Linked DNA regions of Kluyveromyces lactis. The protein of the gene in region 1 interacts with the protein of each later gene in a pairwise test. Links are inferred from orthologs where the notes say so. Each region holds a gene or a part of one and is shown on either strand. Other genes may lie near its edges. The genes, in order: STE24 and ERG11.

The links.
Region 2: the proteins of STE24 (region 1) and ERG11 interact in a protein complementation assay, tested with the Saccharomyces cerevisiae proteins (2 studies listed by BioGRID). The link is inferred for Kluyveromyces lactis from reciprocal best matches to the Saccharomyces cerevisiae genes STE24 and ERG11.

What each region holds. Positions count from the first base shown.
Region 1 is NC_006040.1:924,391-928,007, reverse strand, and holds STE24 (zinc metalloprotease), read left to right. Parts: upstream 1-1,625; coding exon 1,626-2,996; downstream 2,997-3,617. Other genes in the region: TDA4 (Tda4p), read left to right, coding at 179-1,030; proteasome regulatory particle lid subunit RPN3, read left to right, coding at 3,510-3,617. UniProt on the Saccharomyces cerevisiae protein: Proteolytically removes the C-terminal three residues of farnesylated A-factor mating pheromone. Also acts to cleave the N-terminal extension of the pheromone. Does not act on Ras.
Region 2 is NC_006041.1:328,171-332,017, forward strand, and holds ERG11 (sterol 14-demethylase), read left to right. Parts: upstream 1-1,733; coding exon 1,734-3,317; downstream 3,318-3,847. Other genes in the region: RMT2 (protein-arginine N5-methyltransferase), read left to right, coding at 1-1,018; SPP41 (Spp41p), read right to left, coding at 3,720-3,847. UniProt on the Saccharomyces cerevisiae protein: Sterol 14alpha-demethylase that plays a critical role in the third module of ergosterol biosynthesis pathway, being ergosterol the major sterol component in fungal membranes that participates in a variety of functions.

The DNA.
Region 1 (3,617 bases):
GAGAAAGCTTGTCATGTTCCAATTGTTAGTGTCAGTGTATAAATATAGGTGCATTTTCTCACTCACTTTGGTATTAAATACGACAGGCGCAACCTACTACTTAGAGGAAAAGGAAAGGAAACCAGCTCTGATAAGTAAGAAAGACGGTGACAGTAGTAATTACTAATAATTAATATTAATGCTTGAGAAATTGAGTAGTTACTTCACGGGACCAGAGTTGTCTGATCCATTGCTAAGCTGGTCATTTGATCCATCTTCTGAAAACTTGTACTATAGACATTTGCATGAAGCCTTGATATCTTTTGTGGTGTATCAATTCATTCTATATCCATTTGTGGTGCCAAAACTTAACGAATGGTTCTTCAAAGAGCATTACACAGAAAGGGATGAACCTGACAAAATTAATTTCGATATTCATACCGTGTCTATGATCCAGAGCGTTGTCTCCCTGTACTTGATCTGGCCGTTATTATGGATTCCTTTTGGATTTAATGTGGCAACTTACTACAATTCTTATGCTTCCATGGTTTCTGCCGTTAGTATTGGGTATTTCATGTGGGATCTGTATATCTGTCTGAGGTACTTCAAATTGTTCGGTATTGGATTCTTGTTCCACGCTGTGGCAGCATTCGCTGTTCTGACCATTACCTTGCACCCGGTATGCCAAGCATGGATCGGAAGATTCTTGTCATTCGAGGCCTCAACTCCGTTTGTCAACATCAATTGGTACATCATCCAATTGTCCCGTGGATCCTCGAAGCAGGTGGTTCCTACCTGGTTCAACGTATTGAATGGGTTCTTGTTGATCTCAGTATTTTTCTTCGTCAGATTGGTATGGGGGTTCGTCGCTGTTGCGATTTTGATCTACGAGATGTGGCAAGTGTGGGATCAAATCCCATTATACATGACTGCCGTTATCTTGGGTATCAACGTCTCACTAGACTTCTTGAATATCCACTGGTTCTCTAAGATGTTGAAAATTGCTAAAAAGATGGCTAATGGATCTAAAAGAGTCTCCAAAATTGATTGAGTCCTTATCGTTGTCAGATCAGATCAGATCTGCTGACTGATTGTCTGTTTCATTATATATAAAAATCAACGTACTACATAGAAATGCCCAGCACCAAAACTGGATTTATAAGAAATAAAGATCACACGGTTATGAATTCTTCGCCAGATTCACTGATCAATTGAAGTAGTCAGCTAACCTTCAGGAGTGTTCCAAAGGGATATATTTGCCCATTTGAACGTGTGTGCCTTTTATTTTCGCAGGCACTAAATTCTCATCATGACCTTTAAGTGAGCATAAAATTTGAAAATACAAAACCGCAAAGAACTGCATTGACTTGTTTGAAGAATATAGAAGGAGAGAAGGCTAGAGTACTTGGTATTATTCGAACAGTGTGCTTCTAGTGCTTCATTTCCCCTTTATTTACCAGGGCTTTACTAAGTTAGGCAAGAAACACCGTTAGGAGCTGATTATCTGGCAATTTTGATTCGAATCATTAAATATATTCCTTTCTGCTTCTTTGCATATTGAACTAAAAATAAAGGTCAATTAACACTTAGCTTCGAGAAGAAAACATAGATTGTAGGGCATTGATCACCTCATTATAGTTATATTAATGATGGGAATTGTTGACATACTTCAAGATATCCTGGATTCATCTTCCATACCATGGAAAACCATTATTACGGGGTTCACTGTGGCGCAATTTGGATTTGAAACCTATTTGACTTACCGTCAATATTTGGCTCTATCCAATAAGAATTTGCCTCCCGTGCTAGTTGGTGAAATTGATGATGAGACGTTCCAAAAATCGGAAGCTTACTCAAGAGCCAAGTCTAAGTTTTCAATTGTATCGAATGTCATTAACTTGGCTCAGAATTTGATCTTCATCAAGTTCGATATTTTACCAAAGCTATGGCACCTGGGCAACAGCTTTGCCCAATATTTCCCAAGCAGGTTCTTTCCTACTTCTACCATTGCCCAATCCTTGTACTTTTTAACCGTCATGTCCAATTTGTCCGCTTTGATGGGTCTGCCATTGAGTTATTACCAACATTTCGTCTTGGAAGAGAAGTTTGGTTTCAACAAATTGACCATTAAGTTATGGATCTCTGATATGATTAAGAGCAGTCTGCTAGGTGCTGTCATTGGTACTCCGGTATTGTACTTGTTCTTAAAGATTTTTGAAAAATTCCCATCCAATTTCTTGTGGTACATCTGTCTATTCATTCTTGTGGTTCAAATCCTTGCTTTGACTATTATCCCAGTGTTTATCATGCCATTGTTCAACAAATTCACTCCATTAGAAGATGGCGAGTTGAAGACCGAAATTGAAAACTTGGCTAAAAAGGTAGGATTTCCATTGGACAAAATTTTCATCGTGGATGGTTCCAAGAGATCTTCTCATTCTAACGCTTATTTCACGGGTCTCCCATTTACCAGTAAGCGTATTGTCTTATATGATACCTTAGTCAACGATTCTACCACCGATGAAATTGTTGCTGTTTTGGCTCATGAAATTGGTCACTGGCAAAAATCTCATTTGTTGCGGATGCTAGCCTTCAGTGAAACTCATATTTTCTTGGTATTTTCCCTCTTCACCGCTGCTTATCAAAACAAATCATTATACAACGCATTTGGATTCTTCGCCGGTTCTGGTTCCTCATCTGATATCTCCAAGGTTATTACCCCTCAATATCCAATTATCATCGGATTCCTTTTGTTCAATGACTTATTACAACCGCTAGACTGTCTTTCTACATTTTTGACAAACTTAGTCTCAAGAGCTCATGAATACCAATCTGATGCTTACGCTAAGGAATTGGGCTACGCCCCTCATTTAGCCAGAGCATTGATCAACCTTCAAATCAAGAATCTTTCTACTATGAATGTTGATCCATTATATTCAAGTTATCATTACTCTCATCCAACGTTGGCCGAAAGATTGATCGCTATCGAATACAAGAACGAGAAGAAAGACCAGTAGTTTGCAAACAAAAAAGGCATTCAATTTACTGTTTACAGATCACTAGATAAGCAGCAGTACTTATCGTTAACAAACAGAGTGCTATTTTCAAAGTTTGTATAGTAAGATTAGTCTCTGTGGTATTTTGCAGTACATAGTTTAGCATTTTTATTATTCTATATATATGCGCTTTTTAAAGCCATAATGCAAATATTGTACCTGTTTTCCTAATATAAGATGTTAATCACCTTTATCCGTAAGACAACCACATCTTTCACTGAGTCTTGCAGCATTACAGGCCGGCATTTAGGCGTTGTTGCCGTATGTCTCTTGTTCTTTTCAATATTTACGTATACAACGACTCCAGCGTCTTTATTGCCATTTGAAAGTTAACTTGGGATTCCTTTAAAAGTTCAAACGTAACAACAATCATATAAACTGTTTGCCACTCATAAAAGGGAAGGCAACAACCCGCTCTAGAGACTGCAAAACATCTGACAGAGTACTCCAGCTTGTCAATTAAAAAGATATTCGATGTCTAGTGACGCTATGGATATTGATTCGGTCCCAGAGGCCGCGGTCGATAACAATTCTAATGAGGATGCCGTTGTGGATAAACTTCTTGAAATCCTCAAGCAGGTT
Region 2 (3,847 bases), on another chromosome or scaffold:
TTTTGAGGGATCCTCCAAGCTTTCTGAAGATGAGGAATCAGTGGTATTGAAATTGATGGATACGTTACTCGAATACGGGGCAGGATGGAACTTCCTAGATTACGAGAATAAGCATATTGGCGACCTTGTCTTGGAGAGGAAGTATCCACAAGACCATTGCATATATCAACGTATCGTGGACGCAGGTGTATCGGCGGAACTACTACTAAGAAAGATAGACGGTGGTGAAATTGAATTCATTGAAGATCCAGAAGATGCTGCCACTGAGGCTGCCACTGAGGCTGCCACTGAGGCTGAAGTCATTGAAGGAGTGACAAAGGGGTCGGAGGAAGCACCATTTGAGGATGCGACTGCAGCAGACCAGGCTACATATCTAAAGACCGACTTGGAATACACAGACGATGCTCTTGTCACTAAAGAAAACAGAGACGGTGTCATGATGGATTGGGAGACCGATATCATGTCAATGGCAGCCAAATCACTAGTATCTACCAGGTCCACAGATGAATGTGTCGTACTAAATATCGGATTTGGTATGGGGATCATAGACAATTTCATCCAGGATGAGAAAGTGACCAAACACTACATCTGTGAAGCCCATCCAGACGTACTGGCCAAAATGAAGGAAACTGGTTGGTTCGATAAAGAAAACGTTGTTATACTCGAGGGTAGATGGCAATCTCGTCTAAACGAACTTTTGGATCAAGGAGAAGTGTTTTTCGACGGCATATATTACGATACGTTCAGTGAACATTACCAAGATATGCTGGACTTGTACGACGTGATTGTCGGACTACTGAAACCAGAGGGTACGTTTTCGTTCTTTAACGGATTGGGGGCTGATAGACCCGTTTGTTACGACGTTTATCGTAAGATAGTAGAGCTAGACGTAGCAAATTATGGCATGGAATGTAGATACCAAGTGATAAACTTGAGGACCTTACCAAATTGGAACGACGTCAAGAGATCCTATTTCAACTGTACATACTACTACCATCCTGAAATCAGGTTTGCATAGCCCCCATACGAAAAAAAGCTCTTTCGGCTCGGGTATACCTCTCTAACTAGATACTTTATATCGGCCCTTGACGCATGTCATGTGACACCTCATGTAGTATGTAATAGTAAACTAATTAGCAGGTTCTGTTAAAGCCGTTCCCAGCGTAATCTGTCCTCGAGAAACTGCGTACAGAGAGGAAACGGCAAACAAACAAGATATTCATAAATCTCCTCAAATAACTACAGAGAAGGCATCTGCTGACATGAGCTGATGATAAAGATCGCTCAAAACCAAACCTACACTTAAATCCAAGAAATGGGATGAGATGAGATGAGACGATTTTCTCGCTTAGTGGTCTCCGCTAAACGATTCTTTTATGGTGCTTTAAACGAAATCTTTTTTTTTTTTTCGTTTCTTTGGTAGAACGATGAAAATGGGAAATACCATTAACAAGAAACAATCTTTATATAATGAGATGACATGACACTCGAGACAGTGAATGATAGGGAAAAGGAGATAGAGATTTATACTGAGGTTGTTGTCTCTAGTTCACACTGATAAAGCCTGTCTTTATTGAAAGGGACCAGGGAAGGATCAATATTCTGGTTTGAAAAGAGAATTACACGAGTATTGTGTATTAATCTGTTATCATTATCAGTGTTATTTTATCGTATTTTATTTTGTAAAAAAGAGTCTGAGCTTTGAATTATAGGATTAGAGTTACCAATTTATCATGTCAACGAAATCAGAATCGGTGGTTGTTAAGGTGTTTGAAGCTGCTCAAGCAGTGTTGGGCCAATTTTTGGCGTTTTCAATTGCTCAGCAGATTTCTATTGTGATCTTGTTGCCATTTGTGTACACAATTGTCTGGCAGTTGTTGTACTCGATGAGAAAAGACCGTGTTCCATTGGTATTTTACTGGATTCCATGGGTTGGTTCTGCTGTTAGTTATGGTATGAGACCATACGAGTTTTTCGAAGAATGTAGAGAAAAATACGGTGATATATTTGCGTTTGTTTTGTTGGGAAAAGTGATGACAGTTTATTTGGGACCTAAGGGTCATGAGTTCATCTTGAACGCCAAATTGGCCGATGTTTCCGCAGAAGCCGCTTATACGCATTTGACTACGCCTGTGTTTGGTAATGGTGTTATTTACGATTGTCCAAACCATCGTTTGATGGATCAAAAGAAGTTCGTTAAGGGTGCATTGACTACTGATGCATTTAGAAAATACGTGCCATTGATCGCAGAAGAAGTTCAAAAGTACTTTTTAACCTCTAAAAATTTCTCCATTGGTGAAAAAGACCATGGTAAGATCAACGTCATGGTCACTCAACCTGAGATGACCATTTTCACTGCTTCTAGATCGCTACTTGGCTCTGAAATGAGAGAAAAATTAAACACTGATTTCGCTTACTTGTACTCTGATCTAGATAAGGGTTTTACTCCTTTGAACTTTGTGTTCTCCCATTTGCCTCTAGATAACTATCGTAAGAGAGATAACGCTCAAAGAGTTATCTCTTCGACTTACTTGTCCTTGATCAAGAAGAGACGTGATACAAACGATATTCAAGATAGAGATTTGATTGATTCTTTGATGAAGAATTCTACTTACAAAGATGGTGTTAAGATGACCGACCAAGAAATCGCTAATCTATTGATTGGTGTTCTAATGGGTGGACAACATACTTCTGCTGCTACTTCTGCTTGGGTTATTTTGCACTTAGCTGAAAGACCTGACATTCAGGAAAAGTTATACGAAGAACAAATGAAGGTTTTGGATAACGGCACGAAAGAATTGACTTTCGACTTGCTACAAGAAATGCCTTTGTTAAATCAAACTATCAAGGAGACACTAAGATTGCACCATCCATTGCATTCTTTGTTCCGTAAAGTTATGAACGATATGCCTGTGCCAAACAGTTCATATGTTGTTCCAAAGGGTCATCACGTTTTGGTTTCTCCAGGTTACTGCCATCTACAAGATAAATATTTCCCAAATGCCTCAGAGTTCAATCCTAACCGTTGGGATAATGATGCTGCTTCTTCTTATGCCTCAAACGAAAAGGTGGATTATGGTTTTGGTTCCATCTCCAAGGGTGTTTCTTCTCCTTACTTACCATTTGGTGGTGGTAGACACAGATGCATCGGTGAACATTTTGCTTACATGCAATTAGGAACCATTTTGTCCAACTACATTAGAACTCTTACTTGGAAATTTGCTGATCCTTCAGCAACCGTTCCAACTCCAGATTTCCAATCTATGGTTACCTTGCCTCTAGAGCCATCTGAAATTGAATGGACATTAAGAAAGTAGAAAGTTTCTGTGTTCCACTCCTGTCATACACTGATTTCTTCATTGTTCTTAGACAATAACCAATTGTTGGGGGAGTAATCACGCAAGAACAATATTTACACCACTCATTCAGTATCCTTCTTTTTTTGATAGCATGCGATACGACTGATATTCTATTCATTGTCCCATTTTCCTCGGTAATTTCAATTCTATCTCCGTCTGATGTGATACTTCATCATTTGGATCTTTCAAATACATATTAATCATCGCCGTTTCGTGAGTAGCCGAACGCTATGATAATAAAACTGTCCATTAGTTTGTCGAATATGTAAAATTTATAAATTATATTTAAAGTTGTTTGCTTAGATCAAATATTACGCAGAAAATATACCTCATACCACAAAACCGATGTATTTAGATCAATTAACAAGCTCTTTTGGAATTGGGACCGATTTCTGCAGTGATGACGGAATCTGTAACAGGTCCTTCTCTCGGACGTTTTGTTGATGCTGCTAGGTTTGGATCGATACTATGCTCGGATATACGTCCGT